Linked DNA regions of Drosophila melanogaster. Changing the gene in region 2 together with the main gene of any one other region gives a genetic interaction. Each region holds a gene or a part of one and is shown on either strand. Other genes may lie near its edges.

Region 1 (16,476 bases), on a different chromosome or scaffold from region 2:
ATTCAGTCCTATGTTAACCACCTTAGTGGGCACCCTGGTGGCCATGGCATTGTACGAGTATTGGCGCAGGAATAGCCGGGAATACCGCATGGTTGCCAATATACCATCCCCACCGGAGTTGCCTATTTTGGGACAGGCTCATGTGGCCGCCGGCTTGAGCAATGCCGAGATCCTGGCCGTTGGCTTGGGTTACCTCAACAAGTACGGAGAAACCATGAAGGCCTGGTTGGGCAACGTCCTGTTGGTGTTTCTAACCAATCCCAGTGACATCGAGTTGATCCTGAGTGGGCACCAGCACTTGACCAAGGCGGAGGAGTATCGCTACTTCAAGCCCTGGTTCGGTGATGGTCTACTGATCAGCAATGGACATCATTGGCGTCATCATCGTAAGATGATTGCCCCCACCTTCCACCAGAGCATCTTGAAGAGCTTCGTGCCTACATTTGTGGATCACTCAAAGGCGGTAGTTGCCAGGATGGGCTTAGAAGCGGGCAAATCCTTTGATGTTCATGACTATATGTCGCAGACCACGGTTGACATCCTGTTGTCTACCGCCATGGGTGTGAAGAAGCTTCCGGAGGGTAACAAGAGTTTCGAATACGCCCAAGCCGTCGTCGACATGTGTGATATCATACATAAGAGGCAGGTTAAATTACTGTACCGCCTGGATTCCATCTACAAGTTTACTAAGCTTCGCGAGAAGGGCGATCGCATGATGAACATCATCTTGGGTATGACCAGCAAGGTGGTCAAGGATCGTAAGGAGAACTTCCAAGAGGAGTCACGTGCGATTGTTGAGGAGATTTCTACACCTGTTGCCAGCACTCCCGCTTCCAAGAAGGAGGGTCTTCGCGATGATCTGGATGATATCGATGAAAATGATGTGGGCGCCAAGAGGCGATTGGCTCTTCTAGATGCCATGGTGGAAATGGCTAAGAACCCCGATATCGAGTGGAACGAGAAGGACATCATGGATGAGGTGAATACAATTATGTTTGAGGGCCACGATACCACCTCGGCGGGATCTAGTTTCGCCCTCTGCATGATGGGAATCCACAAGGACATCCAGGCTAAAGTCTTCGCCGAACAGAAGGCCATCTTCGGGGATAATATGCTGAGGGATTGCACCTTTGCCGATACCATGGAGATGAAATATTTGGAGCGCGTAATTTTAGAGACTTTGAGGTTGTACCCACCAGTACCACTTATCGCCAGGCGTCTGGACTACGACCTGAAGTTGGCCAGTGGTCCGTACACGGTTCCCAAGGGCACTACGGTCATCGTGCTGCAGTACTGCGTGCACAGACGTCCAGACATCTACCCCAATCCCACCAAATTCGATCCGGACAACTTCCTACCCGAGAGGATGGCCAACAGGCATTACTACTCCTTCATTCCCTTTAGCGCTGGACCCAGAAGCTGTGTGGGCCGCAAGTACGCCATGCTGAAGCTAAAGGTCCTGCTATCCACCATCGTGAGGAACTATATTGTCCACTCCACCGACACGGAGGCAGATTTCAAGCTGCAGGCTGACATCATCCTAAAGCTTGAGAATGGATTCAATGTCTCGTTGGAGAAGCGTCAGTACGCCACGGTGGCCTAGAATCCAGAAATCTAGGACCCCGACTACACACACGCAACCCCGAACCCGAAACCGGAATCCAGCCCTGTATATAGATGATGAATACCGATGAATATCCCAAACCGAAAACTTGATGACGAACTTATAAATCTAAAACACCGAATAAGAACCCAACGCACAAGCCAGCCAGAGAGTCAATTAATTTTTCTTTCGTTTTTTAACTCGTTACTTTTATATTTGATTAATACCTTTTTGTTTGTTGGTCTTTAGCGAGTGGTGCCCCTATATAATGTATACGTATATACTATATATCCTTTTAACCAACTATTCAACGCAACTGTTTGTGCTCTTCACCTTTTTAGTACTCCTACTTTTACCACTATCTATACTTTTTTTTCGTAGCCATGTAGTGTGATTTTTTTTCTTTATTCTAGTATTTATTAAGTCAAATGGTTTAAACGAAACCCAAAAAATATGAAAAATACACGTATGCGAGGCACGTAGCCGATAGAGCTGCAAAACAATTGTAATTGCACATCTTGTAATGTTCTCCTTCTGGGCGGTCGTAGTTTCTACGAACTTGGCTAACATGCCAAACTATAAGAAATTTGAATGCAGATAGACAAACCAAGTGAACAAGTCGACTTGGCTTATGATTCTGCGGTTTTCCAATCAACAAGTTAATGCGCTAATGCGAGGCAATCGACGGTTTGCAAACTGCTGGCAATGTCATAATATTGATTCAGGCCGCTGTCCTTGGCAAGGTATTTTCTGTTTTACTTTATTTCGCTCGCATTTTGGGTACCTGTTCATATTTGTTAGCATTATACTGATCTTAAGTCGACACCTCATTCGATGGGCGATTTGTAATGCGATTAATCGGATGCAGATTGCGATGCTGACAAATGCGAATGCTATTGTGTCGGAATCGGTAGCAGTTTATCGCGGGTTTCGCGGTCAATGAAAAGGAGGTGTATCGGAAATTCGTTAGCCTTCTCTTCTTGTGATTAGCTGAATTCCGCCGTTAGAAGCCGGCTTTCCCTTTTTTAGGCAATCGATTGCCGAATATCAATTTACAAAACGTAACGAGCCGAAACGGAAATCCTTTCGGTTTCTTCCGTATTTCCTGCCTTGCTGCATTTGAATTATGAACCCTTCTTTAGCATCTTCGGCAGACATAAAAAGGGGCATGAAGCAGGTCCCGAAAACCAAAATTCTGTTTGGTCATTGTCCTTTTTGCGCTAGGCAAATAGCGGCACTACCTGCGGATCTGCAACCCAATCCAATGTCTTTGGGCATCCGGAAGTTTGTGCACATTCGTTCTATTTTTTATGGCGGAATTCCTCAAACACGCTAACTGGATATCAGATTGTGGTCTATGTCCTTCATGCGTGACACTCCAGGATATACTTTGATGACCGCCGGTTTTAAACTCGCACGTGTACCTAAAGTTTTGATATTTTACCATTTGAGACTGACACAGTTTGATTTTGCCTTGCCATTCCTTGGCATTTCTCGTTGATAGTTTAAAAAACGGTAAAAATGATTTTTTATAGTCTCTTTAGAAATTCCGTAATGGGTGGTCATTGCAATCAAACGAAGTTGAGTACTGAAAGCCATTTTCTAAAGGGATATGTTTGGGATGGAATGTGTGGCCTTGTATTGCTTCCCCAACACAACTTCATTTATAGTCAAGAGAAGGTAAGGCCAAACAAAGAACTATTAAACGAGGAGCTGCATACCAGGACATCTCAATCAATGCAAAACTGACAAAATACCGCTCCCTGGAGTGAGCGGGAGTAAAAATTGTGTCTGTCATACAATTGAGCCTGGTGACTCAATGCCGATACTGTACTTCATACTTAGAATAATCCCAGTGGCCACCCTGGGTGCGTAAGTCAAAACATGGGAATATAGTCCTAGGACGACAGGGTATGAGGCCGACGTGGATTCAGTGACATTAGAAATATGTCCTGGAAAACATGTGCAACCAGACCTAGGGAGCAGTCTCGCTTATTGCTTCTAAAACTGGACGACGAAAGTCACATGTGTTATCCTTAAGCATCTTGCTTGGGGCTCAATTAACGAAAATTGATGGTGGTTAAAAATTTCGAAATATGTGTATAGATGTGGAAATAAAATGGAATGGAATTGGCTCAGATCTGTTTAGCAATTCGCAGATCATCAATGGTTGAAGTAGAAAGTAGGGAAAATTATGGGAGAGGGCTTAGGCGAACCGCAGGAGGTACTAGAAAGTGTTAACCCGCTTTGGGTTTTAACGGTTGTCCAGAGTTATTTTTTTGACTTGGTTTCTTGACCCGCTTAGGGTTTTTGAGCGCGGAGCGCACACTTAAGTGCTTCATTGTGGGTTGAAGTACGTCCACTTAAGGACTTAGAAAAACTGAAAGCCGTCGAGTATAAGTATCTGCTTAAGTCTAAGTAGCTCGGCTTGACCGGCAGTTAGTTTCGGAAGACACAGTATTACGAATACTATTTGCCAGAGAAGTCTCTCTTTGGTCCAATGCTGAATGAAACGGAAGGATGAAATCCTTGAATGAAAATATAACCTTGCCAACTGGTTACTGGGGATCAGCGGATCAGACCTCAAAACCATTACCGTTTTCTTTGAATATACAATAAGCGAAGGTAATGATTGCTAGATGACATGGTTTTCCAAAAATTATTAAAGATTTAAAATTCGAAGAAATTATTTTTTTTTTCGTGTCACCTATCTCAATTACGAGATCCATCGAGCCAACTCGGATTCGGCGGGTCAAAGGCAGCATCTGGTTCCCGGGATAACTGCAGTGCAATGTGCCCAGAAATTGGATAGTCAGTGGATCAGAGAAGTAGGGGTGAATCCAATCAAGTCAGCGGCAAGAGCATGCGCACACGCTAAAGTGAACTTAAAAACAGACGGCATTCAGTAATAATGCATTCATAGAGGCGTGGTCTAAATGGCATAATGGGGGCACAACTTAAAGCGACTGCAGCACCCAGAGCTACGAAAGCAAATCTGCCGATCGAAGGATACGATAGGGCTCATATTCCTTATCGGTGCTAAGCCTTTAACATTCACCAAAAACACAAACAACAAAAAGACGCACATAACGGCAATGATTTCCCAGTTCAAACAGTAAAAATGCGAAATTCGACCCAAACTCGGAGGTGTACGGTTGAGGGGCGTGTCGCATTACCAATATTTAATAATTATAACGGTGCGTGAACAATTTTCACTGCTAACGGTGAACGGCGCACCCACCACACGACCAAAAAAAGAATGATAGGAAAACACCTTTGCACCTGGATGGAAAAACTGAAAACTGTTGAAAAAGGGGGTTGCAGGCGATCTCAGGCGCTCAGGAGCGCGCCAACACATACATATACACAGCGAAAAAAAAAAAATAGTAATGGAGGAAAAAATGCCTCGCCTTGTAATTTCGACCTCAAAATAGATCGTGTTGTTTCCTCAGTGTACTACTTAGATTTCTTTGGTTTTCGGATCCTGCAGATGCGAATATCATTTGGCACAGGCCATCTATTCTTAATGGAAAACGATTTCAATTGATTTTCCTTACAGTATGCCTGTCTTATGTAGTTTTGCATCATCCATATCCATTGGACCGGCCCTTTCTTATTTTTTTTTTTTTTTGGTTTTTCTTCCGTTTTGTTTTATTTGGGCAGATGTCCCAAAAAAAGGGACGGGTAGAGAGACATGAGAACACGTAAGCACAGGACAATGAAGTCCTGAGCACAATTGGCAGGAGAGTATAGCGCCAAGTAAAAGTGAGGGTGAGTAAATATCGTGCAAAATAAAAGACGTGCGTGAAGGCTTGGCAACTTTGTATAAAAAAATATATTACCATTCCCTTAAATATCATTGAAAATATTTTCCAAATGTTAATGAGGGTCTGTGTGGTGAGCATGACAAGGTTTTAAAACAACTTCAAGTTTGTAGCCGCTATTGGAATTTCAAGCTGTTTTGGCTTTTCACTTCTTGACTTCTATGAGGACAGACAGACTAGACTCTATTTTTAAAAGCAATTCGTTTGATTTGCGGTTGCCGGTTAGGTCCTAAATAATAGTTCACCCTAAAACCGCTTTCTCTCAATTTCCCTAATATTTATTTTGGTGCGTTTTTAATTACTTGTGTCATTATGAATCAAGGCACATGTTTAAAAAAGAACCGCTAGAAAAAAATCCGAATTCTGTCATTCTGTCACAGAAGGAACCCCATTTTGAATATCGAGTCAATAAAGCACCGGAGATATACTGTGCCATAAGACACTCTCTAAAATATAAAACACCTTTTTTTCTAAAATGTGGTACAAATTATAAATTGTCATTTAATATACCTAATTTTCGTTGAGAAATAAAACCACAAGAAACAAATTAAGTTTTTGGAAATGTTCATATTTATTTGCATTTATTCAAAAGCATATATTATCTGCTTGTCATTTTAACGTTCCTACAATTAAATCTATAAAAAAAAAATATGGTTACACAAATACATTAATTTTTGTTATATACTAGACACTCTGTTAGTCCGGCTCAACATTAAGCCGTTTATCAGGATAACTATTTTGTGGTTGGGTCTTACAAGGTTATTTCCATTTGGTTTATATCACTAGATGACTTTAAATATGTAGTGTTCATACATTCATTTTGTCACACTCTTTCAGAGGATATTATAATATGTCTGAAGGTAGCAGTGAGGCATTTCCGACCCCACATCAATAAATATTCATGATCGGCATGTCTGGTGATATAAAAGGTGACTCGGGCAGGATCGATCAACAATATCATACGTACAAGTACCATAGCAAGAATCAAAAATGTACATATATTTTATAGAATTTGGAGAATATACAAATCTTGATGAAATCGTAAATTTGTGATAAACTTCATCGAAATTGTGCGAACTTTCATATTAAATACATGGTTTTAACAGCAAAGGTATATAAGCTTCGGCTGGCCGAAGTTATCCTCCTTTCTCGGCTTAAATTGATATTTACACAATGACTCAGTCATGGCTTGATTAAAAAAAACTTTAGATAGAATGGCCTGCCACAGACTTATGCTGTGAGGATTTAAAATCATTTAAAAAGTATGCCAAAAAATGCAATCGGCTTTTCCGAGATGCGTGATGTGAAAAAATTCGGCTAAACGGACAGATTGGTGCATGCACCATTAGATTTAGGTGCATGTGCCTCCCACCAGTCAATGGCATCGATCATGCTCTCGTCCGAAAGGCAGCCAGCGGTTGTATTGTTGGGCTGATCTTGCTGCAAAATATCGCTGAATTCCTTCTTGAATCCGGGAAGGACTACGTTGTCGTAGAAGCTCACGGGCTCCTGGTCGTAGAACGCGGGTAAAATAGGCGACGATCCCAGGTTCTGAACTTGCTGCTGCTGCTGCGGGGAAGTCTGTGCGTTGCTGCTGCTGCTAATGTTGGTACTGACGTATTCCTGTTTGATTACTTGCTGTTGCAGCGGTGTGGCACACGTCTGTGTCTGTAACAGCAATTCAGTCGAGGCGACAGGTGAAACTGGAGAAGAGCAGGGACTTCTTACCACCTTTTGTGGCACGGGCGATCGCGATAACTGGCCCGAAGCAGCTGTTTCTTCAAGTTTTTGCTCGTGACTCAAATCGCCCAATAAGTCAGTCGTCAGCAGTTGGTAGGTGTTGGTTCCTGGTATTCTGATGTATTGCAACCCATTTAATGTAGTCAAACTAGGCAGGAGATCACTGGCTTGCGGAGGGTTTAGCATATCCTCGGATAAAGTTTGTTGGACAGTCTGTTGCTCATCCATTTCGTAGTTGCTCAGCGAGTCGTCGAAATGTTCATCCAGACAATCGAATTCGTCCTTAATAAACATAAAGCTATCATCGCCGGAACCAGAACTATTCCCCTGACTGTTGAGAGGTGGAAAATCAAATCCCAGCAGTTTTTCCAAACTTCTTATGTACTCTACGGCCATGCGGAGGGTCTCCACTTTGGATAGCTTCTTGCTTGCTCCTCTACCCGCCCCCTGGGCCTCAAAAGCCTCAGATACTTCTTCTGGGATCTTCTCCCGGAGTAAAGCAAATCCATTGTTAACCTGCTTCACGCGATTTCTTTCCCTAGCGTTTCTACGGGCAACGGCTTGTGGCAAAGGCAAACCCTTTCTTCCAGGAGTCCCAAAACTCTGATCGCTTTGGCTTTTATGAGGGTGGCTTATAGTTCCTGCTTTTGGGGGCCTTTCAACCGCCAACTTCTTGTTGGTCTTGCATTTTTTAGCAGGCACTGATGTTTTACTAAGCTGTTGATTCTGCTGGTTGTGCCGGTTCTGCTTTTGGGATTCTCCCAGGGGCCTCTTCCGTTGACTGGATATGGGTGTGGTGTTAGTTGTGCTGGCTGCGGCACTTTGAACAGCGCCCAGCATGCCAAAGTCCCGGATCTTTCGAATAATGGTGTTCTGATTGGCTATATGCTGTTGCAAGGCGTTGGCGCCACTCTCACTTAAAACATTGTGAACGGTAATCTTTCCAAAAGGTTTCAACGTGGTTTTTATTCCTGGATTGGGGTTTTCCTTGGGGTTTTCTTTTGGAGGAGGTGATGGGCTGAAGCTTAAGGCGGCCATAATTAAGTTTTTTGATTCGTGGCTTTTTGAGGGCGGGAGAAAAACTGGTGGCGATTGCGGGTGTACTTTTAGCAAGTTAGTCCTTCTTGAGTGAATGTTAACTGGTGACTGATGTAATATGGTTTCCGTGTCCTTGCATCAGGACAGCTGCTGGCGCTCTGTGTCGCGTGCCCCTAAACTCCGAACTCAAACTAAAACGCAAACCCAACGGAAGTGACTTCGTTGACTGACATACACAACACAGAGCACACACATACAAAACAGAAGGCATTTGAGGTCCTGCGTATCCCTTATGTAAAGGGCCTGACTTTTCATCCCCTAGACTGGGTGTCCCTTCTCGATCGCTCACACATACACCTTTATCATATATATATATTATATACAGTACGGCTTTTGGGAAAACTAACATCTGATCAACTCGAGCCAAAAAGTCCACCTGGTTCAAGGGTGGATTTCGCCACGCTCTCTCTCATTATTTATCGGCAGCAAACACATTATGCTTATATACCGCCCCTATTAATATATGGACATTATAATAACCATATACGTATGCATATAATAAAAAGTATATTCCCTGGGGAGCTTTTTCAGCCCTGGTTTTCAAGGAATGCCCTACCACCTAGGAATTTGCAAAATATCCTAATAGATCACCTTAGACCTCCAATATTCGTCATGTAAAACGCAGAAATGCATCGAATCTTTATTTTTAGCTTATAGCTAAAACCAAGGACTGGTTTCTACTTCATTCGAAAAATGTCTCGGGATCACCTATTGTTAACTTTTCAAAAACTCGTACTGGATAATATATACATATATTTACCAGGACTTGCATTGGCAAAAACATTTTCCTATTGTTAAGCTAATAAACAGCAAGTATATACTGCGAAAGTAATGTCTTAGGTAATTCACAGGGCTACAATTTATGTTGGAAATTGACAAGATGCCAGAGAGCCAATTTAAATCCTTTAAGGGGTGAGAAATCACCCATCCTTCTCTACATTCTTGTTTTTTCTACGTCTGGCAAAAAATTTCTGGCAATTAGTCCGGTGGGAAAATAATTTTACCAGTGCTTTATTTCTATAATCTATTCTTTTTTTTGGAGCTTAGGTCTATCTGTGCAAACAAGTTTTCGAGTGCTACAATAAACTTTTTTGATCCTTCCTCTCAGGTAGTTTCCAACAAACCTGAGTAAATAGAGGAGTATACATATGTGTGTGTGTTGTACTTGCTGCACAATTTATAAACTTGAGTTCACTTAAAAGGTTCAAGGAAAAGGACTTGAGCGCAGGATAACCGGCGGGGAGAAGAAACTTGCGACGACCGACTACCGGTTTTTGATCCAGGATGCCACGTCCTCATTCCTCATTATGCAGACGAGCTCTCAAAGAAAAAGGAGTCAACGCTTGTGCGTACTGAGGAGTATTTGAGTACTGGGAAGTACTGCTCGGCGTCCTTTGTTGTCCTAGAGGATTTGACTCGGTTGCGTCCCACTTTGACGACGCATCGCAGCACTCATCTCAAGGAACTGTTCCTTGCCCCAGCCACGCCTTTCGTGCACTGCAAGAAAATAGTTCATAATTAAATTAACCATACATAAAAGTAGCGATTCCAAAAATATTACATGTAAACGGTTTCAAAAAAGTTTTGCCCCAAGACGCGGCATACCTTTTCGAATTTACTCCCACGTTCGTAAAATTAAGAACCTGCGTTGTAGTCCTGTCACTCTTTTTTTTATATATTTTTTTGGCTGTTATCTTTGGCGGATCGAAATGTTCCAATCTAGGCAAATACAATTTATGAATGGTTTCTGGTTTCTGGTTTATTTGCATTTTAAAAACGCATTGATTTCAATGGGAAAATATCTTTCGACGAGAGAAACGCCAAATGGTAATGAAACAGATGAGTAAACGGAATTGACGCTAGCGTGGAAACATACTGGATCCTCCATGATTTACTGAAACCTGAAGTCGTTCTATTTGGCTTGACCCTCCAAAATCGTAAATCAATCTGCCAACGCATGCAAGTCGCTTTGATTTTCCAAAATTTAAGTTCCCTCTTCTTTTTCCATTTTGTAACCGGAGAAAGGCGCCGGGTGAATATGTCCTGGGCCCATATTCTGTGTGTACTCGTCGTTGACTCAAGTGGATCCTTTAGGATGCTTCATCATTTAGCATCTGTGCACAGTTGTTCGTTCATAAATTGTTTTACCGCTTCTTGTTTTTTCATATTATTATTTCGTCTTTCGAGTTATGAGTGTTGAAAACTTGATGGAACGGAAGTCTTTCCGTGGAAGTCCTTGAAATAACTTTGGAGTCAAGCACTGGGGGAAAAGTGAAAGGACCCCAGCCGAGAACTACACAAAAGGACTCGCTCTACGGGTGAACACCATTTTTGGGACATTGTTTAAGGAAATGTTTGTGACGATGCCTTCTAATTATTACATATTCCCCCCATCGGATCGTGAACGAGTTACAAGTGACCGGTGTACAGATATGTAACTCTTTCTAACTATAAACTAAATAAAATTAGCCAAAAAATTAAGGAAAAGAGTTACTCCCGAATCATTTCTGCTATTTATTTAGCGGCAAACTGTGTCCCGTCCTTGCAGCAAAAATGAGCGGGTGCGGGCTGTTTTAATACCTCTTTTAAACAATACATGGGGAAATAGCGAGTTTCTATTTAAAAACTGCATTCGACTTTAAAGTGAAACTCACAATTCACGCTGATCGGAGTGGTAAATTGTTTTCAGATCGCGCACGTGCCTTGTGCTCTACATAAATGTGAGTGAGTGTCTGTGTGTCTTCTACCTGAGATCCTACACAGAAAAAAACCATCTTGAAATAAATGTGGTGAATCATGCAAGAAATAAATACGCATTCCGTCGTCGTGTTCTTGTAATGGATCTTTTTTTGTAGCCGGATTGGCACGTCTTTTCTTCTTTTATAGTGATATCTAATATTACAAGCATTATTCAAATTTTTTAAACACTTATATTTTTGTAATATATTTATTATATTAACTAAGGACACCATCTTATATTAATCCATTTTTAAACAGTCGAAGAGTGCGTACGTGTTGTATAGTTTTCTCTGTGTGTCGGGGACACTTCGACCAAACGCATGGTCTTTGGATTTTAGGGTATCGGGGACCTTTGGCGCGCTTTCGGGGGTATCCGAGCAATAATAAATTATCCTCACCCTCACCTGGCTTCTCATTTTTCCTTTCTCATCTCCTTTCTCGCTTACTCTCTTCCCCTACTGCTCCCCTCTCTTTTGAGCTAGGTGCTGTTTCTATCTTATCCGGTATCGATCCTGATCAAATCTGGACATATTTCGCTCGAGGCTTAAGGGTACATAAGGGAGGACTATAATTTAGGCAATACACAGTGGAAAAGCTAAGAGTATATGTACATATGTGCGGTGTATGTTCATTTAAGCATACGTTAAAAATGAGAAAATATTTTATAGCTAAGGCAGGCCTTTTAACATTACATTTTCGTACATACCTCGAAATTTCTATTGCACGTTAAATGATTTCTTGGTCTAATTTGAGTTTATCCCAAAAACAAGTTTTGTGGATCTCCCTCGCATTTGCTCTGGCTCCCTGTCGTTAGCCCCTTCCCGCTCTAATGCCCTTTGTTATGTTCATATACATAGAGCTCCGTATATTCCGTATGTATCGTGTCCCGTGCTGGGGTCGCTGATCGCCAGCGATCCTGCATCGTCATTCTGCCGCGAAAAACATCTGCTCCTGCTGCACAGCAATCGTTCAACAGCTCTGCCCTTCGTCTCTTCTGCTCTGCGATTGAACTCAGATCTCTTTCTACGCTTGCTGTCTCGCTCCCTTTAGAGCAACCCCTGTGCCAGCAAACAATGCCAACAGGAAGGTCCTGGGCATTAAGTTCCGGCAGGATTAGGGGTGTTTGCGTTAGGGATCGCTGGTAACTTTCGACCAACAGCAAAAGCTGCCTGAAAATCGGCAATTCAGCCTGTGGGTGGAACTCGTGAATCAATCCATATGGGCTTGAATTTGTGTAGTTCTCTCGATCCGTACACCTCTTACATAGTTTTAAAAACTATGTAGTCCTAAACTATTTTTCACTTCATATATATGTGATGACAACGTGACCCCAGGACGACGTAAAAGCATCCTTGCACTTTCATATGGGTTGTTGTGCAGCCCGATGATTTATGTTCGAGGGTGAATCCTCGAGAATCGGGAGCAACAGGATTGCAACTGGTTACGAAATTTTCTACAAACACGGCAACAATGAGCACATTTATTTTTGTGAACAATCGGGAGTGAAATAAAAATTATATTTGAGTAGCCGATTAAATTAAATGCCGGGAGGGTGGAAGTCATTGTTCAGAAACCTGTTGGCGTTGGTGAAAGAGGGCGGTGGCGGGGCAGTGGGATGCGCATGCGCAACGGTTTTTTATAAAGGATTCAAAGCCGGCGGCAATGCAAATTTGTCAAAATTCACTCTTCACACACTTCCCTAAAACGATGATCGGATATACATGCACTTAACGTAATTCTGACTAAAAATATCATGCGAGAGTATACATTATTAGCCACACTAACTAGAAAAAATACAATTTGTACAATTTTTATTAAACAGCTCACGAGTTATCTACGCCCTACGAACGACATTCTTTAATTTGTGAAAAAAAATAACCTTGCCCACTCGGGCTTTACAGACATATTTCTGAGCGCGTGTCTTCAGTTCCTTCGATCCCCTCGACCCCTTTACCTTATTGAAATTCACGATCCTGTACCATTTTAACAACCCCTTCAACTTGCAAGCCCGCTGACCGCACGCGCTGCCAGTTTTTAAGGCTTAAAGCCGTGCCAGTCGCAGGTGTCTGCTGAACTGGTTGCGTCCCGCCTTTGTACCATCTAGTTGGATAGGCGGTGACTCTGGGTCGGACCCCACCCCGGATTGGTATATGGTAAAAGTTCTAGGAGGTTTTTACTTCTACTCTACTACTACTTTGGTTGCTTAAATATGAAAACAATTTTTTGAATACTTGAACCATTGTAATAAGGAAGCTGTATTGGATGCTGTCGTAGCCGAAGAAAAAACCTGAAAGGATTAAAATGAGTCTAAGAGATTTATATTATGAAGTTCTGTAAAATGTTTATTTTCTAAGGGCAATTTATTGATCAAATTCTTAAAGATCTTTTCTGCTTTGTGATATGAAAAGCCTACAGCACTTAAAAAATACTGCTTAAGATTTGTTGAGTCGGATAATAGTAGACCAGGGAATTTAGCCATATCTTTCCTTTGCAGAACCGCTTTAACCTACTTTTGCAATTCATGAAGTTGAATTGCAGTTTTCGCAACAAAGAAGGACGATTTTTTTCTGTTTCTATTATGTGTAACCCCTTTTCGACTACTATGCTATACTAATGATTAGGTTTCTTGTGATGTCTCGTTGATTCCTTTTTTCGTGATTTGTTTTCAGCGTTGATTGCCTACTTATAAACTCATTCAATTGCTATCAGGCAAATTGGCAAATAGAAAAATTTACGCACCGTTGAGTTCTTTTGCCTTAATTCCGCATTTTTTCAAACTATTGATTTTGGTCGGTAAGTTGCGGTTAGGCAGAGCCGAAAGGATCTGGCTCCGACGAGGATTTAAATGCACTCGAGTGATCCTTTAAGTGGGACTTGTCTGCTGCTGCTCGAAATGCGTCAAAAGTAAATTTCAGCTCAAGATTACACAGCGATTGAAGTCCGCCGAAGCTAGTAATTTAAATTCTGTCGACATCAACCATTGGGTACGTTGGTACGGCACTTTTGGCATGCGGCACACAAGGACTCTACGGATGTTCAACGACTGCACTGCAGCCTGTGGCCCAAAAAACTCCCCGCTGATAAGACACTTGTGACCGACATTCGTTTCTAGGGGAAAAATATGAGTCTTTTGATAAGATTACCGAAAACATAGTTCTTGCCAGCTGCTGCTTATAATAATATAATATAATGTTTATAAATAAGCCTTCCAGGCCAACAATTTTTAAAATTTCTTAGTTACAAGAGCTTATAAAAAGATGTCAAATTAAAAAATGTACGCAAACCTATATATTAAAGAATATATCTAGGCAGAACAAGTTGACAAATTGTTTCTTCGCAAATAGAATATCTAGTTGCTTTCCAAGAAGTGTAAATGCATTTGATGTTTTTTGTGTATTTCGCAGTCCTTTATTTCCAAAAGATTAATCAGAAAACTCCTTTTCTTTGGCAATTTCATGGAATTTAATTTCGGTACTAGAGCTCTTGTCTTTTTATGAATCCACTGGTCCTGAAATCAAATCACTCCCCTGTTCTTTGGACATTCGAATCGAAGAATCAATGTTTACCCAAAACATGAAAAGGAACAGGACAAACGCCCCAAGCAAACAATGGCATGCTTGGCCATTCAAAAAACTTCTTTCTGGCATTGTTGCGTGATTTTTTTGCACTTGTTTGTATTTCTGATCAATTAAAATTGTTCCCCCCGCATTGTTCGTCCTTGCTTATTTCCAATAGTTCGTGATATTTGCTTTTCCCTTTCTCGGTTTGTGTTGACTTTGCCTGGCTGAATCCTGGGTTCTGCCGGTTGAATGTGCCCACATGCTGGGTGTTTTTACAAGGCATAGAATCAAATCCAAGGACTGCAGTGCACTGTAAGAAATTTAATAACATAACAGGATGAGGACATTTGGATGAGCCCATTTGAAGAAGGTAGGGAAGACGGTTCTGTCTGAAATAATGTTTATTTTCCTCACGAAAAGGGCTTCTGTTTTGTTCAGCCAATGCGAATTTTTTTCGAGCTGCAGCCACAACATTTTCAAAGTTGCAGAGCTCAGGAATATTGCGCAAATATTGCATTATTGCTATTCAGAGTGCCTCAGCCTGTGTCAATAAGATATATCATCGATTCCTGCGTCCTTTTGCATTGTCTTGGCTTTAGCCACAAAAATGGGATAAAATAATCACGGATCCCAGCTTCTGGGAATTCATTTGGTCCTGTATATTCTCTCACGTTTGTTTTGGGAAAATGAATTTCCCCTCTTTTTTCGAGCTGCAAAATTTCAGTTCGTGATGTTCGACTGAATTTTGCGATTTTGACGCGTTTGGTTTTTTATGCAATTTCTCACAGGATTAGACCTTCTGAGAAATTTGTAAGCAATGCGAAAGGACTAACAAGGCAGAGGGGATATTTTTTTAACCCGTTTTCTGATCTGATAAAGGTGTTGGTTAATGTACAGATTTCGGTAAAGATAGAAATCCATAGTTTTATAAAACAAAACATAAATGAGCTTTTTATTATCTTATATTTTAGTTTATGACCCGTAATTATTTTAACTTAATTTTATTCGTTCTCCTGCTAAGTAATACTATTTGTTTTTGAGTCGAATTATTACAGCACTTTCGATCCATCGATTTGGTATTAATGTACATATACATATCTTATGTATTATGTCGCGTGTCTCTCAGTAAGAGACGAGACTCCACACTTGAGAGTCCTTATCAAAACGTCGGCGTGTCTCAAAAGGTAACATTTTTCATCAGAGGACTTTGCCGACAAGTATTCTTCAGTAGTCTCGAAAGATCTTGAATTCGATTCTCTGGCATGTTTGTTTATTTAACTGTTCACAAATTAGACTCCCTGTAAGGCAGCTATCTATCCACTTGACCATTTGTACTTCGGGACGCGCCTATTTAGATAAGGATTTTTTCGTCAGGTCTGCCGATCTTGGAATCTACTTTACCCTGCGGGCTAGCAGCCTACCAGCCTGATCATCCCAAATCCCGGCTTAATTGTTAATGCTGAGTGAGATGTTCTGCTTTCTGGAGCGCAACGACTCGTTAACATTTAGCGAACCAGTCGAGCAGCCCACTAATTAAGTCATTTTGCCAGATCGTTACATGGGCAGCGGTAAAAAGACAGAAGTACACATAAAAAAACCAATCTTATCAAGCCTAAAGCTAACATTGAAAAAAGCATTTTTAAACAAAGGTTTACTTTTTTAAGCCATCTGAACAAGTCAAGCTTGCGTAATGAAAAGTTGAAAATTTATTCCATTGTTAATTTGTTGAACGGCCAACATTTCTGAAATCAAACTAAACAGACATATTGGGAATTTTTTTTAGTGTCGGGGCAAGGGGCGTGGCTGAGAACTGCTCTAGGAGAATTTCTGAAACCCAAGCATAAATTCCGCATTCAAGTGTTGCTCAAACTCGAGTTCGCAAATCAGTTTTATAATGGGCCCCGGTCCGGAG
Region 2 (16,402 bases):
ATTTGGACATGTGCCGAGTCGATTGTTAGGAAATATATTTTAAGTGGCCGCCAGCGGCAGAGAACCGAATGTGTCAAGAGGGGCAGAAATGTGGGACCCAAGAAGTATCTACATGTGTACATTCATCATAATATTCCGAGAGGCTGAAACTTCTCACAGCTGAAATTCACACGTATGTATGTATGCATGTAGCTCCCTTCTGTTTCAAGGTGTGTTCTATTAATCAAAACTAGAGTCCTGTTATGCTGAAATGGAATGAAATGGAAAATTAACATAAATTATAAGCAAACATGACAGGGCAAGATTTCCACAGCGCATCCTGCCGTGATTTTCCAACGGTTTCCACTTCCGATTTGGGACCAGAATTTCCCATGACCCCAACGAGATTTCGATTTTCCCGATGATGCCCGCTTGTCAGCGCTCATTCCCAGCATATAGAATCTGGATCCCAAATCCGAAATCCCCTCATCTTTATGCATGTGCACGTCCAGGGAAAATCAGTGCGAGGGTGTGGGGAAATCCCAGGGAACAGGTTCTTTTTCCTGCCTTGATTTTGATGTTTTGTACTTTTTTATCTCTGCTCCTTTTTTTTGGTAATTCGATCCGATGTGCCTGCAAGGAAGTAGAGCACTGGGATCTTTAGCATATGAATACCATTTCGGCTGTTGCCGGTGAGTTCACTGCACCTCGTCTCAAAGTCCGGAGATCCGTGTGGGAGCAGGATCTAATATTTTGTATCCCAACTTTCTGTAGTTTTGATGAGCCCCTGACATCGGGGGTCAATTGCCGGAGGAGCGGAAGGTGAGGGCCGCCAGGTGGGGATTCTGGAGATCGGGAGAAAGGAAGTCGGAGATATGGAAATGAGACAAATGAAGCGCGATTCCCACAGGATTGTAAGAGAAACAAATACATAGGTGCTCTCAAAATAAAAATCATTCTAAGCGCAGGAAATTATGTAATCGATACGAGGAAGTAGTGCGCAGTATAATGAAACAATATAATAAAAACTAACTTATTCACACAATAAAAAGTGCAATGCAAAGAATATAATGATAGTATTTATGTGCGTATTTGGCATAGTTTCTTCTTTTATAATGTCTTTAAGTAATGAGTTAACACTATTCTAATGACTAAGCCAGTCAGCTTTATTGCGCACTTATCTTTAATCAGCATTAATCGATTACTTAGCTTCTTCTGTTTAATTATATAGCCAAAGTTTCGTGTAAGCGGGTCACAACTTAATTAGTGGCTGCCGAATGAAATATCATTTAAAGTTAGTTACTTGAGGTTAGTGGGCTCTTCACCCACAGCAACCGTAAATGTGGAAGAAAGTTTGTTTTTCGCTTTAATTGCCAGCTGCAAACTTTAACGAAGATTCATTTATTCTGAGCCACGGGCAAATAGTTAAAGCCGAGCCTTATAGCCCATGGCCTATAATCTATTCATGTTGATCGAGCAAACGCATTCGCCGAAAGAGAGGGGGATAGAGACAGAGAGAGAGCGGGTGCATTTCACACAAAACGTGCAAATAATAACACCATCTCCGCTAATGATCAACGCCATGTTGCATCCCCTCTCCTCTGACTAACGTAAAACAGCTCACGCACACTCGAAAGAAAGGGGGGAAATACAACAAATGAGGTGGCAAGAGGACTAAGAGTTCTGTTCATTTAGCTATGTCGGGTACTATATATAAACAAATTATAAAACTATTTTACAACATTTACGAAAGATGATCTTCAATACTTTAATTAGCATTGCATTTATGGATAAAAAGAAATGTATGACAGTAATTTATTCACCCAATCCTATATGATCATCAGAAATTTTTTTAATTATTGTGGATAGTCATATAAATATGTTTATATTCCCCGCTAAAAATAGCTATATCTACAGCAGCACTTTCGCACAAACACCGAAAAGTAATGAGTAAGAGCGGTGCGGTGGAGGAGAGAGTGGGAAACAGTGGGCACTTGCAAACAGACAATAAAACGCGTTAACTGCTGTTTTGCCTGCCGCAATTGTTGAGCTTGGTCTATCCGCTGTCCCGCTCTCACCTGTTGCGACGTACCACCCCCTTTTGCTCCCCTCACCACACTACTTTTGGAGCACGCAGAGCCACTAACTAATTGGCCGAACCAACAACAATTTTCAGCCAACGTCGTCTCTCTCACTCTCGCATTTGAAGATGATATCGTTGTCGTGCAGCTCACGCACTCACCATTGCACTCACACACAAACATACAGTTTGGCCCCAACGTATCTCCATCTCTCTCCCACTGCCTCTCACTGTGGCGAATAGAGTAGGCCCCAAACACAAAAGCAGAAAACACTTGCGCTGTTGTTGTTCGCTCACTCAAATTAGCTGAAACTGTCAAAGAATGCACATGATAAACGCAAGGGGGGTGTTGCGGAAGGGGCTGTGCGAGACGGAGACAGCAAGTCCCATTTGTGCATTTCGTGCATCTCTCTCCTATCTTTCAAACAATGAGATTCTCCGTATGACAGCTTTTCTTCTGCTTTTGCAATACATTTGGACTAGTTAAGAAATATTTTGCATATCTCGGTAGGAAAAATCTGATATCTTCTAAGCGTTAAGAAATTCAGCAAAAAGATTTAATTTACGAGGTTACCATCTATGACTTAAATATAGCATTAATCCCTATTTTAAATATTTCCACCCTTTTCGTACATTTCAATGGGGGTTATTTCCCAAATCCGACTTTGGCAATCGCGCAAAAAAGCACACTTCGTTTCGTCGTGACAAACAAAACGCTCACGTTTATCGCAGACAAAAGATCTGCGTTTTTACGCTAAATTTCATTTCAGTTTGCGCTTTTTGTCGCTCGCTCTGACTCTTCCCTCTCTTTCGCGCCCCTCAAAAGCCATCACTTACTGCTCTGGATCGATCGTCTATATTTGTGTGTGTGTATTTTGGCTTTTGTTTGGAAAGTTTTTCATTTTGGCTCGTTAAAAAATTTGAAATTCAAAAAAAAGAGTGTTGGTTTTTTTCAATAGACAAATAGACAAAAGGGTGACGCAGGTGGTGGGTGGCTAAGGGGGGAGGCTCCTCGGCTTGTTTATCTTTGCATATTCATAAAGCTTCGATCTGTTTACCTTTCTGCGTTGCCGTTTGACTTTTAGCTGCTTTATTATGGTGCAGCTCACTTTTTTCCTCGCGAAAATCCTCCGTTTTTATCAGTGACACCAAGTGGAGGGATATCACGTGGTGAGGGGGTGGGGATTGGGAGCTGTGGGGTTATGGTTGCCCAAAAGGTGGAGGAGCAGACAGACAGCTGCAGTTGCGAAAAACGTCAGGAGAGTGATATTTGTTTATTGTTAACGAATTGAAGTAAGCGATGGAAATAGCTAAAAAAAAAAACAGGGTACATCAACTTTAGGATACTATGCACTTTTAAAGTGGAATTAAGCTGGAATTGGTTTATATTTAATTGAAGTCTTAAATAACTTATACGCTTATACTTATCAACGATTTAATATACCATAAAATTCTAGGTAACACAACTTTTGAAAACACTAATTCTATGTGTGCCATATTCCTATAGTACATAATCCAGCTATAAAATTACGAGATAAATACCTATGTAATTCCCAAAATTCCCCGAAAAAGGTAACAAAATCTTGAAAACTTACCAAAATCCTTCGAACGCAGTTCATTGAACCCAACCAGATTCATCTATCGGAAATTTTCCCACAAACAAACCGAAGGCACAATATTCATTTGCCATAAATAAGTCACCAAAAGCCAGGGTCCCCAAAATCAGTCAAATTGTCGACGGCCTAACCCAAAGATCTTCATCATAGTAACCCCAACTGGACCCGCTACCCACAGTCGAATAGCTAGTAAAAAAAAACAAAAACAAAAAAGCAGCCCAAAATGCAGCGATCAAGCGCGAAATTTGGCACAAATAAAATAAAATAATCAGAAATAAAAACCCAATGGGCTGCTTTTTTATATATCTATATATATTTTTCATTTTTGGGTAGGGAGAGGGTCAAGCGAGGCAGTTAGCCTGCCGTTTTGTTGCTGTCCATGTTTTGGGCCATTTTTTATTTCATTTTTCTATTTTTTATTCGCTCTCGATCTTTGTTATCGAAAGCCAGACGAAGCCAGGCGAAGGCACACAAAAGGCCCTAAATGCGCGTCTATTTTGTTACAATTTAAGACGCTTATTAGAAATCGTTTGCAAATTGTTTAGCCAGCTAGCTGGCACGAACGATCGTCGTTTTGGGAGCAGAGCTCCGATCGACGAGCTGCGCTTTTTGGGGCTTACTCTGGTGCTGAGGGCGCTGGAGAGACCGGCAACTTGGACCCTGTGGATCTGCAGGCTGGGTAACCCGAGACTGAAGCAAGCCGCCGTGGAGGAAGTGGAGCCACGAAATGCGTGCATATTAATTTTCGTATATTTACGTTGGCCCGATCCATCCGATTGGGCTTGGATCCCTCTATGCACTGAAAAAAGCTAAACTTACATTTCCACAATGTTTGAAAAATGTAGTAATAAAGTTTAAAACAGATCTGCCTTCCATTAACTATGTCTATTTAGGTAAGTTCGAATGGCTTTGCATTAATGATGAAGAGATTAGCAAGTTAAAAATGTATTTATTCCTACCCTTTTCGCTCAGTGTAGCCACGTGAAACTTGACTAAGACTTGTTGCTGCCGTTGCCGTTTGGGTTTTGCTGCTTTTCTAGCTGCCTGATGATCTAATTTGGCAACAATTGTCGTGGTCGTCGATCGCTGATGCCGATGATCGCGGATCGACTGGATCGGCGGATCCCCATCCCCAAACCCATGCCAATCCCGATCCCGATCCCCACACACATGTGTGCGCTATTTGTGGGCCTCTGGAGCAGGCTCTCCTCCGCCTGGCGATCGATTGATCTCGATAATGAGTTTCGTTTCGTTTCGTTTCATTTCGTTTGGCTTCAGAGGACGCACCCATAATTTCGTATGCTCTGTCACCCGAACGATACCTTACCGTACGATTATGATTTCCCTGCGCTTTTCCGCTTGGCTGGATACTGGTAGGCATCGATCACACTTGATGATCTCCGGGCCAAGACACTATTTTCACTGCTCTCTCATTAAGATCGCGTCTCATGTCTAATACGACTTTTTGGCCGGGGCGCGGGTCTACTGAGGCTTGAAGTTTGATTTAGTGACTGCCATTTTGTGCTCGCGTCGTACGTGCACCGAAATTTAAATACATACATATACATATGTAATTTATGATCAGTCTGCCAAAGAAAATGCGCCTTACGTTTGCTTCACTGGGCGGGCCATAAAATGTCGCGAATGGCTGGATTGGGTCGGCTCTTATTTTCCGATCCACTCAATTCGATTTGTTTATTTGTTCGAAGAAGAAGAACATGACCCAATAAAACCAAATATGTGGCGAACTCTGGAAGAGACCACTCACGATCATTCTAGATTCCATTGAACCTTCTGCCGGAAATAGGAATTGACTTTTAATTGAATGTGGACAATAGAAAATGTGGTCTAAGCATTCAACAGATAAATATTTAAAGGTTGTATATATGTACATTTAAATATGTCAAATATTACATTAGCTGACCAGAAATGTTATAAAGATTTAACCACTGAAGTTGATATGAAAATACCATGCTTAAATATGATTAAATTAACAATGTTTTGGCATATAGGAGTATCAAATTAAGACTGTTTCAAATATATGTATGGTATTGTTAACATAATTACCGTATATAGAAAAATAAAAGATTTTTTCTAAGTTTGTGTAGAACGACTTGCATATTATCCTGAAATAAAAAGGTCCCAAAGCCCACCCATTAATGAAATAAAAACGTTTTCAATGTTTTTTTTTTGTATGTAAATAAAATGTATTTCCTTCTTTCTTCGCTTGATGCAATAAATTACTTAGAATTACAAAACATTTTCGTATCAAAATATATGTATGTGTTGTTTGCTTATCTTCACTTAAGCTACAGTAGAACATTTTCAATGTGTACGCGAAAAAGTAGTGGTCATATCAAAAATAGTTTACGGTTTTTACAGCTAGGCTAAAAATACTATCGTATAAAATATAGAGATGTATGTCTTGCTTACGATTGATTGTCTGGCGTTTCATTTGTTCAGCTTAGAGTCTACAGTTAGACATAATACATTATGTACAGGATAAATCGAAGAATACTTTACAAAGTTCATCTTTAGGATATATTATGGGCACACATTTTAAAATGGTTCAAACTATTCAAATTGGTGGTGGTGGTTACAAAAATGTTGCCGGATTGTACAAATTAAAACGTAATTTTTAATTTTCTCTCTTCTGGGAGAAAATGCTGACTAGAAATTAAAAAACAAGTGAAATTCTGCTTGAAGTTGTGTGTCTGCACTGGGAGTTTCGGGAACTTGGAGCCGCCTAAGAGAGCTAGGAACTAATTTTTGGTGGAACATGGCTGGGATCTCAGCTATATAATGTATATATAAATATATTGCCTTACGGCTCGGCATAGCCGGCGTAGTTGAGTTCGCTGCTGCTGGAGGATCCTGCACTGCCGCCAGGACATCCGCCCTCTGAATGCTTGGTTAGGAGGGACATCCGCGAGAAGGTCTTCGAGCAACTGGTGCAGGAGTACTTCTTGATGTCCGAGTGGGTCTGCAGATGTGCTCGCAGATTCGAGCGATCTGCAAAGGCCCGGTGGCAATGCTGGCAACTGAAGGGCTTCTCTCCCGTATGAGTGCGAATGTGTCCTTGCAGCAGCCATGGTCGCGAGAAGGCCTTGCCGCACAGATTGCACTTGCAGGGCAACGTGTGGGTGCGAATGTGCATCTTGAGGGCACCCAACGAAACATAGGTCTTGTCACAATCCTTGCAGCTGAAGGACTTCTTCACCTGATTACCCTCGGCGGCCGGGCAATGGAACTGCTGATGTTTGGTCAGCCCGGAGAAGGTGGAGTAAGATTTCTGGCAATCCGGGCACTGGTAACGCGGCGGCTGGTTCTTGTCCTTCTTGGCGGAGGCATTCGGCATAGTTTCGGGCGACATATCCCCGGTTTTGGCTGCTGCTTGCTCTCCCGGCTGGCTAGTGTTTAGATTCAAGTTCAGGTTCTTGTGTTTCAGGGATAGATCCTCGGGCAGCGAGGAGCTGCAGCTGGATTCAGGCGTCATCGATCGCATGGAGTAGTAGGAATTCTCGGAATAAGCCGGCGAGATAGGCGCATGGTGATGATGGGTATGGGTATAGCCGCCCAAGCTCGGATAACCGGGCATCTGTGGATAGGGCAGGAAACGGTGCTGCCGCACGCCGATTGGTCTATGGATGATTTCAGATCTCATGGGCGGGGAAACGGAGCTTGCGCGACCATGAAGGTAATGATGTGGTGGCGGCGACAGGGAGCCCAGCGAGTCACTCGGCGAACTGGGCGCAATGAGATCGCCACGCAGCGGCAAAATCTGATGACCCTGCTGATTGATGGTCCTGTAGAACTCGGCGGTGTAGGGCGACATGTGGAAGTTGTTCCAGGGATATTTCGGGTATGTGGGCGTGGGCACAACCACGGAGGCGGCTGCAGCGGCGGCCACAGCTGCGGCAGCAGCTAAAGCCGCAGCCTGGGTCTGATTTGGGTCCGAGTCCACATCCACATCGACGTCCTCGTCCTCCTCCTCGATGTGTTCATCATCTGTATGATCTACATCCACACCCTCGTCCTCGCAACAATCGCTGACGTTGATCAGTTCCTCGGAGGGATTTTCCTCCAGAATTTCCATTTTCTTTACGCACAAATCCTGCGGCTCATTTGGGGTGTTACTGTGATTTTGAGGCGCCTCGAACTGGTAATTAACTGGGCGCTTTTTTAGCGGGCACTTGCTGTAGTTTTTCTCCACCAACATGTCTTCCACGGTATGCATTTTACTGGCTTTTTATTGATAGTTTACCGGAATTGTTGTAAAATGTTCTTAATTTTCGTCACTTTGTTTTCAGTGTGTCATGTTCACACAGGCACAAATACTCGATCGATGCACAAATACCAAACGCGTGTTCCGTTAAGCAAAGCGATTGAATATCGGTTATATTTCGGGTATATTGCGTTGGGAGAGATGGTTATGTGAATCGGTTAGAGTCTGGGAATAACTGAGCGAGTTTGGCGGTGGTGCGGCCTTTTTATACTGCCCCTGCACTCGGCACTCGGCTCATTACACGAAGCTGCCAAAAGAGAACGCTCTCTCGGGCGTTCCGCCGAGAGTATGCATGTTCATTCAGGTATATGCGTCGACCAATCGCGGCACTCGGCTAAACAGGTTTCGCCTTGTTTATGTAGAATTGCCTCACGTGCCGAACTCGTACACTTGCACCAATCGAAGCCGCAAACGAAGCGATGCCGTTATATTTGCTCTAGTGTGGGCCATATATTCAAATATGTTTACCTGTGTGCATCGTGCTCTCCGCAGCTGCTCTCTCTCGTCCTCTCTGCATTTGCATTCAATGCGCAATAAGGAGATCTATGATCTTACCTAGAAATTTAACTAGAAATTCGAAAAACCCCACTTTTGGAGGATTAGCGAACAAGGGTTTCCTTTTACCTCATTATCATTATCAGGTGCATCATTAGTTGACTTAATAACTGAAACGCAAAAAACATGGGCAGGTACCCAACATAAAATACTAACATTTTTAGGACACAGGGCGATGCATTAATGAGCAGGTAGACTTCTGCATCAATAAAATGTTTTTTGGCAGGAGAAAGGAGTGAACGTAGTAATTGTAGTCACTAAATTTGTTTATTAACAAGTATGTTATTGTACGGAATCAAAAGTAACCAATATTCAATCGATTTTGCGTAAAAAGTTTTAGAAATATTGTATTCCCCGTTTATAAGTAAACAATATTAAATATATTAACATCTTTCATTATGGATCCTTAGGAATATTTATAATAAATTAATAGCTTTACTACTTCGGCGTACTAATATGATTATTCTGTAATTCATCATTAGATAATGATATAGAATTTTTTTCTGCGGGCATGTTCCGGTAATCGAATTGGCGAGAATTTTACGACTTGGATTTGATTCGATTTTGTCCAAATACCCAGAAAAAATTTTAAAAAAATAGGAAAATTTCTCAGAAATACAATACGGTAAATATACAACTAGAACGTTTAGAAAGAGCCAAGCTAAAATTCAGTACGAAAAAGAGCATAAGCATTCTCTTTAAGCCAATTGCTTCTCTTCACTCTCACTGTTTCGATTCCACTTTGTTTCTGTTTCGCTCTCGAAATTTTCTCTTCGATTTGAAAAACGTTTGAGGCGCCAAAGCCACTAAAGGCTGAATTGTACCTTTTTGACAAAACGGAGAGAGATATTTAGTTTCTGTTTTTTTTTTTATTGGGTAACACTAGGCTATATCTTTACGATACCAAAAATTGTGGGCGTGGTCCGCCCCTTATATTTAATTTTGTTACCAAAATAAATACATATCTTTTAAGTAAAAAGACATTTTTGGGATCAATTTTTGATTTGTACTCTTAATAGGCCTTCTTCTTGCAAAGTTAAGCAAACTTTGGTTAAGCAAACTTTGTAAAGGCACCTCTGCTTTCGTGCCAGACACTAAAGAATTATTTAATCGGCAATCTTTCTTTTTATTTGCAGCACGAGGAAAAAATGTTTATTTTTTGTTAACTCCCTAATATATTGTTCTTTGTTACATTTTGATCTAAAATAAGGGAAATGCACGTCGTTGGCAGACATTTTCTCCGCGACATGCTGATTTATTAATGAAATTTTGGCTTTCTCAGGGGATTTCTCGATTAATAATTTAATATTCCCTGCCGTCGATTATGTTAACCGTGCGGGATTTTTTTTTTTTTTAAATTTCTGGTACGCAACACTAAAGTCTAATCTTATAATAACATAATGACGTAATCAAAACTTAATATTACGGACTTTTTTGGCCACAAAAAGGTACCTTTCAGCCTATAGTCCATAGAAGCGATTTCAAAATACACATATTTATGCGTTCTTGAGATTTGCGGGAGGGAAAGGATCCATGTAGTAAACAACTGGTAAACAATTAAGGAGCACGTCGAGATCCTCAAGTGGAAACCAGCACACACATGCACGCTCGACACGAAGTGGCAGATGTGTGGCAACAACACCCAAACAAACAAACAGCGAAAGTGTTCACCCGACAGATAAGATAGTAGGTGTGGCCCCCTCCTACCGACCGATGTCCAATGGCAGGACATAAATCAAAGGGAAGCAAACCACGCCAATTTCTGATCACTTACCTGGAATCACCGCAATACTGAAAACAAATTCATTTATTAAGGAAGAAAGTTATTTGTAATAGTTTTGCATAGAAATTAAATACGTTAAATGAAATACTAATTGTTAAACAACTAACATAAAAACTATAAGCATGCATGAAATTTCAGCATGTCAGTATAATGCTATACAGTTTACAACATATTTTTTTCAGTGTAGAAACCACACACAGTTGGCATTTAACTTAATTAGCGTTCTTATCAAGCATTTGTCCCTGTGGCAGGGCGACTGCTGTGCCTGTGAGGACTCCGATCCAGATGCAGATCACTCCGTTGCACAGTAATTCCCAGGAAGCAGACTATCCGGGCGCAAGTGCGATTCCACTGAGATTGCCAAACGAGGAACCCAAAAACCGCCAGCATAAATTAATAGATAAACATGTGCAATTCTACAGGACAGGTTCGAGTTTGGCGGCCAGTGATGACCATCTGGATTATTTTTCTTCCAGTCGATTACCTTTAATCAATACATATTAATAAATAAATACATATTAATATTTCTCAAAAATATTTATTTTAAAATATAATAATTAGAATTTTGACATTTAATTATATTGCTTCCAAAAATACCTTTTAATAAAATAAGAATAAAATATAAATTTAATAATAGCTAGTTTTTGGAAATATCCCTATAACTGTTTAGCTATTTTGGCCACTATTTGCGATCTGAGCCATGTTCTTCGATTTACATGCCATGTCCAGGTACTTTGGGTATGGATATTGAGAGCAGCTTGAGTCCCTGGGTCTGGGCATCTGTTATCTTATCGCACGTCGTTGGCTTGGCTGTGGTTATATGGCCAAGCTGCCCATGACGTCTCCTCTAAATTCGCCTTAGAAGTCTGGTAGACGGAGTCTCTGTTGCCGTTGTCTCTGCTCGATAGGCTGTTAACAAAGATTTAATGATCTTGTTAACTAATTCGTTTTTTTCTGGCTTCGTTCTTGACGCTGGCCGTAGTAAAAGTGGTCGGGAGTGGGCCGGGAAAGGACCACCCACCGACACAGCGACTATCCATCCATTCGACCGCTGTGCAAGTTAATTAGTTTGCGTTTGTTGCCGCTCTTAAATCACACTCGAACGGGTTTATTGCTAGGAATTCCACGCCAGCAAGTGAGAGTGGAAATTGGAATTACTAATAAAAATATAAAATAAATTTATAATAAAAATACTAAATTTAAAATAAAGAAAACAGACGGTGACACTATCCTCCAAAAGATTTGGAGGATAAATATATAAAAATTGTATTGTTATTTTAGTAACTATGTATTGGAACTATAAACTTCACGCTTAAAACCACTAACTTAATTTCAATATGTTCAGCCCCAGATTTGCTAAAAATCAATCACGAAACTTGAAAATAGGTGACCCAAATAAGCAAACCGCAGACATCGTTTCAGAATCGCAGCCAATACGCATCCCTTTTTGCCTGCCATAACATTTTGGAAGCGTGTAAAATGGTGATATTTAAGCGATTTTTGGATGTTGCAACATCCCAGACACGATCGGCAACAAAAACAAAAAAAAATCCCAACCAAATTAAACAAAAACAAGACGCAAAAGAGGCCAAGCCGCAACAGGCTAATCCTATTTTGGCGGCAATGAAAATGGAACAAAAATAATAAAACTTTTTTACGACAAGCTCTAAAAAGCAGAAAAGGGTTTCGGGCTTTCAGCGTTCCCAACCGGCTCGTACCTCTGTATTTTGATCTTGGTCTGGGGCGAGCAACAAATTATTAACGACATTTTAAATGCAACGCCTCCCGCCTGGTAAAAAAAAAAAAAAACGAAGCGAAGGGAAAAAGGGCCACAAACCACAAGTCGCCCGATGACTGGGCCACGATTTCTGGATGGACTTGGACATGGACATGGACATGGACTTCGATTTCCAGCTCGATCCGAGAACTCGACTCCTTGCGGCTCGACACGAAGATGCGACGCCTTTTAATGAGATTTGTCTGAAGACATGAAAAACTTTTGTAATTCCCCTCTTTTTGCAGGACACACGGCAAAAAGCGACAAAAGTTGGCACTGCAAGCAAGTTTTTGGTCCTAAAACTATGTATTGTGGCCATAATGTTAGTGAAAGTAATACATATTTATTGTATCGAAGGTTTGGCAATTGTCTTTTCTCTCATTAGATAACTAAATATTTTTTATTAGCTTGAGCCAAGTTGAGATTTTACGAAATAATTTTATTTGCAGTGTATATAAACCGAGAGGAATCACTTGCCCCAACGTGTGGCATTAACAAGTGTGTGCTGCAAGTTGTGCTTTATATTTTATGCTCTGGCTGTTAAAATTGAAAATTACTTTTGGCCAAGACGTTCAGATCTCGAAAACTTTCGAGCCCTACCGCATTTGAAAGCTGAGACAATAATTGCAGCGGGAGAATTACAATCGAGCATTTTTATTATTGCCACAGCAGACTGCGTCACGGATCGGATCTGTGTGGATCTTCAGTTCGGTTAAGTTTCCAATACCAAACCCAATTCCAGGCGCATTGAAAGTGCGTGTGGTTTGTTGTTGCCCCATGGGCTTTTTGTTTAAGGTCTTGGCAAATGAAAGTTTTCTCTTCATCGATGCTGCAGGACATTATGTTTGATTAACGAAACGCAGGTCGAGTTTTGGACTGTTGTAAATAAATTTTACAACCTTTAATGCTGCCACCCAGACAACGTAAAAACGAGAAGCAATTGAAATGTCTGAATTATGTTTGCTGAATTATTGAATTATATAGGTGGTCGGATACTACATCCTACATGCATGTAACTGAATGCAAGTACTTAATTACGTCAGGAGAAATTTATTTTCATTTCGAAAAACGCAATAAATGTTAAGCAGAAACTTCAAGGGATTTAAGGAGCATTGCATATTATTTAGATTTCTTAAAATTTACAATATCTGATATGATTTCGAAGACTGAAATATTGATTAAAAGAATTTGTTCGATTTTTTCAATCGAACAATGTTCAAGCCGATGCCCAACTCATTTTGGCCCGCCAAGTAGCCCCACACATTATAACAACATTAACTTGAAGCACATCGGCTAAGTATAATGCATGCCACGAGCATAATGATGCACTCCCCAAAAACTGCTTGCCAATGATGATGGAGACAGCGAAAATTATTACATACGGAGCGGGAATTCGGCATGAACATGACGCGCGATGCCACCATAAACCGGGCGATAACCTGGTCCAAGCCGTGGCCCAAACCATGACCCACTCGATGAGCAGGAGGCGGCAACGGAGCTCCATTCAAAACAAAAAAAAAAAAGTATCATATGCAAAAATTGTGGCACAGGGGGGCGGAGGCAGCCGCTTAATGGCTGTTAGTTTGGCCGGCGTGCCTGTGGATGCCTCTCCTCTCCTAACCACCATGCCCACCAAAGTGCCCAAAACTTGCACGGGAAAAAATCGAAACTAACTGTGGCACTTTAAATATAAGTACTTCAAAATATGTAGTACATTTCTAAGGTGTTTTAAAATCAAGAAAGAAAAAAACAAAAGTTTGGTTTTTTTTTAGTTCCTCTTGCTTTTTTCCAGTGCATCCCCATTTGCAATCGCAAAAAATGCACTCCAACGCTATGGTTTCAACCTGTAAAAATGTATAACGACAGCATTACGCTCGTGCCACCAGCTGGAACTGTTTTCTTCATGTTATATTATTTTCTCGCTGGGATGTTGCAACGCCACATGGGACAACGGTACACTCCGCGCAGGTTCAGTTGGGTTCACAAAGCCGCAGCGCTCGATCTGATTTCTGTCACTGGTCCACCCATCGTGCCCCGTCCACAGCTGAAGGAATGCTCTTGGAATTACAAAAAAACCTATATTAGCGGAAAAAGCTGGAAATATTTATAATAAACTGAGGATGATAGTATTATAATAATTTTAAAGAAATGTATATTTAAATAAAAAAATCTAAGTTAATCAAATTTAATTTTTTGGTAATGCTTTGTCTCAAAAAATGTAAGCTAGACTTTAAAGTATAACTAAGAAATTACGTGGACGATTCCCCTGCCAATGTCCACTGTTAACTTGCCCTATACAATAAACTTTTAATATTGTAATTTAAGCAGTTAGAGGTTTTTGCGGCTCTGCTTTTTGGTCACATCTTCTGTCCTCGATCGTGGAGCTTCTGTTGTTTTTGGGATGTGATCTGCATCAACCTGCTCCCCTGCCATCCAAAGTGGCTGGGTTCTTAAAATCACAACCAGGTGCGGCTCATTCAGGCAGACATAAAGGATCCCGGATCGGGGGGATCTCCTATTGCATTCGAGCGAAGCCAGCCACCGCAGACATTGTACTTCCAGGCACTTGGCAGATGCCGGGGTGCAATTCAAATTAGTGCTCCGGGGCACTCGGGATACATTATCCTGTGGCACGGTGATTTATATACCGACAGGCCGGCGCACGCTTCTTTCTTTTCAATTACTCAACGCTTCCCCAACTCCCGAATTTCATGGGGATCCCCAGCTCCCGTTTCGCCTGTCATGTTTCCTTTTTCCATTCTATTTTACTTGCTTCTATTTATTCAAATGCAGCGTGCCTCGAGTGGTCGCACTAATGAACAAATCCTTGCAGCCTGAGTCCTGAATATCGAATCCTGAATGGTTTTCCGGGGAAACATCTGCGCGTGCGATTGAAGTGGATTCCTGGCTTTGGCTGTGGATAAGTGTGCCGATGTCGGTGCGTTGGTCCCAGTCAGAAATCCAGGATATTGCCCTACGAAGGCGATAGGAAAACTCGCAGGGAAGAGGAGAAAGGTTAGGTACTTTCTCAATTTAATAAATATATATATTTAAATTCAAAGAGACATGTTAGCGCAGCCGTACTTTAAACCATTTCGAATGAAATAAAACTTATTCGAATTTATGACTAAAAATATTGATAATATTTTACATTTTTCGTAGGCTCAAGTAATAAATAGTTGTCTATCCGAGAAGAAAGTGCGGCCACATTTGAGCAGCCCAATCGGCCAACCAATATTTTACTCGCTTTTATCGCGTTTAAGACCTCTCCTTACTTAGGCCAACATCTGTAACCCAATTACGATATCCAAAGAGTGAGATCTGTGGACCTCCCACGTGCTGAGCTATAAAATAAAACTTCATTCCATTGCGCAGCGAGTAAGACAACTTGTATATTCACCTACAACCCATCAAATTGATGGACATGATTAGAGGAGAAAATGAAAGAGGAAAGTGCGACCTTTGGCGCCTCAAAAAGAGTTGAAGACTGAAGTCTGTGGACAGACCGTTCCCCAAAATAGGCAGATGCATTGGGCTTTCGGGGCGATAATTGATGAGCTTTTAGCATTTAAGCAGCGGAAAATACAAACTAACGCACTTCAGTCGAGGGCAGCGTCAAAATGATGATTAATCATTTGGCAGGTGCTACGCGGCGAGGCCAAAAAGGCACCAACATAAATGCCTCGAAAGGGTTCAACATACCGGCCCAGCCCTGCTTAACGAGAAACTATTTAACTTGATTTCAACGGTTTGCATTTTTGGTTAAACTGTCAAGTGGCCAGAGAAAAGGGCCCGTTGCTTCGCACAAAAGGATTCGATGGTCGGCGAAGGATTACCGACTTTTATTTGGCCTGCTTCGGCCACACCCACGCAAAAGGTGCATTGTCGGTTGATTTCGAGGGCTGTGAGTGGGCGTGGTTCCTGCTGACCTGGTCGCCGGATTTCGAAGTAGTAGGCCGGTCCCTGTTGGCATCATTATATAATTTGACGAAAGCAATTCGAGGCGAGCATCGAAACAGTTTACGGGTGAAATCAAAGACGCTGCTACAGTGGGCCAGAAGGAAACAGACTATTATATTTTAGTAACACATTTGAAATGAAATTTCATTAACAAAGTAACATAAAGTTTTTCTGCAGTTAGTAATGCTTTTCTTTTATGAGTTTACACCTGCTAACATTTTTATAAAATAGTTTAACATAGTTTATGACCACTGTCAGTCGCACCAAATGACGGGTTAAATGCCTTGGAAACTTTGCAGCTTGAGCACTGAATTTGTGGCCCAGACTTCTTCTTATTAGTGTTCCAAGATTTATGGCAATTAATAAT

The links.
Region 1: of esg (region 2) and ase, changing one suppresses a phenotype caused by changing the other (phenotypic suppression), as found in Drosophila melanogaster (2 studies listed by BioGRID).

What each region holds. Positions count from the first base shown.
Region 1 is NC_004354.4:452,685-469,160, reverse strand, and holds ase (asense), read right to left. Parts: upstream 8,415-16,476; 5' UTR 8,206-8,414; coding exon 6,745-8,205; 3' UTR 5,985-6,744; downstream 1-5,984. Other genes in the region: Cyp4g1 (cytochrome P450 4g1), read left to right, coding at 1-1,603. UniProt on the Drosophila melanogaster protein: Involved in the determination of the neuronal precursors of optic lobes in the central nervous system.
Region 2 is NT_033779.5:15,325,604-15,342,005, reverse strand, and holds esg (escargot), read right to left. Parts: upstream 8,141-16,402; 5' UTR 7,913-8,140; coding exon 6,500-7,912; 3' UTR 5,868-6,499; downstream 1-5,867. UniProt on the Drosophila melanogaster protein: Transcription factor that can both stimulate and repress transcription. Binds to the consensus DNA sequence 5'-A/GCAGGTG-3'.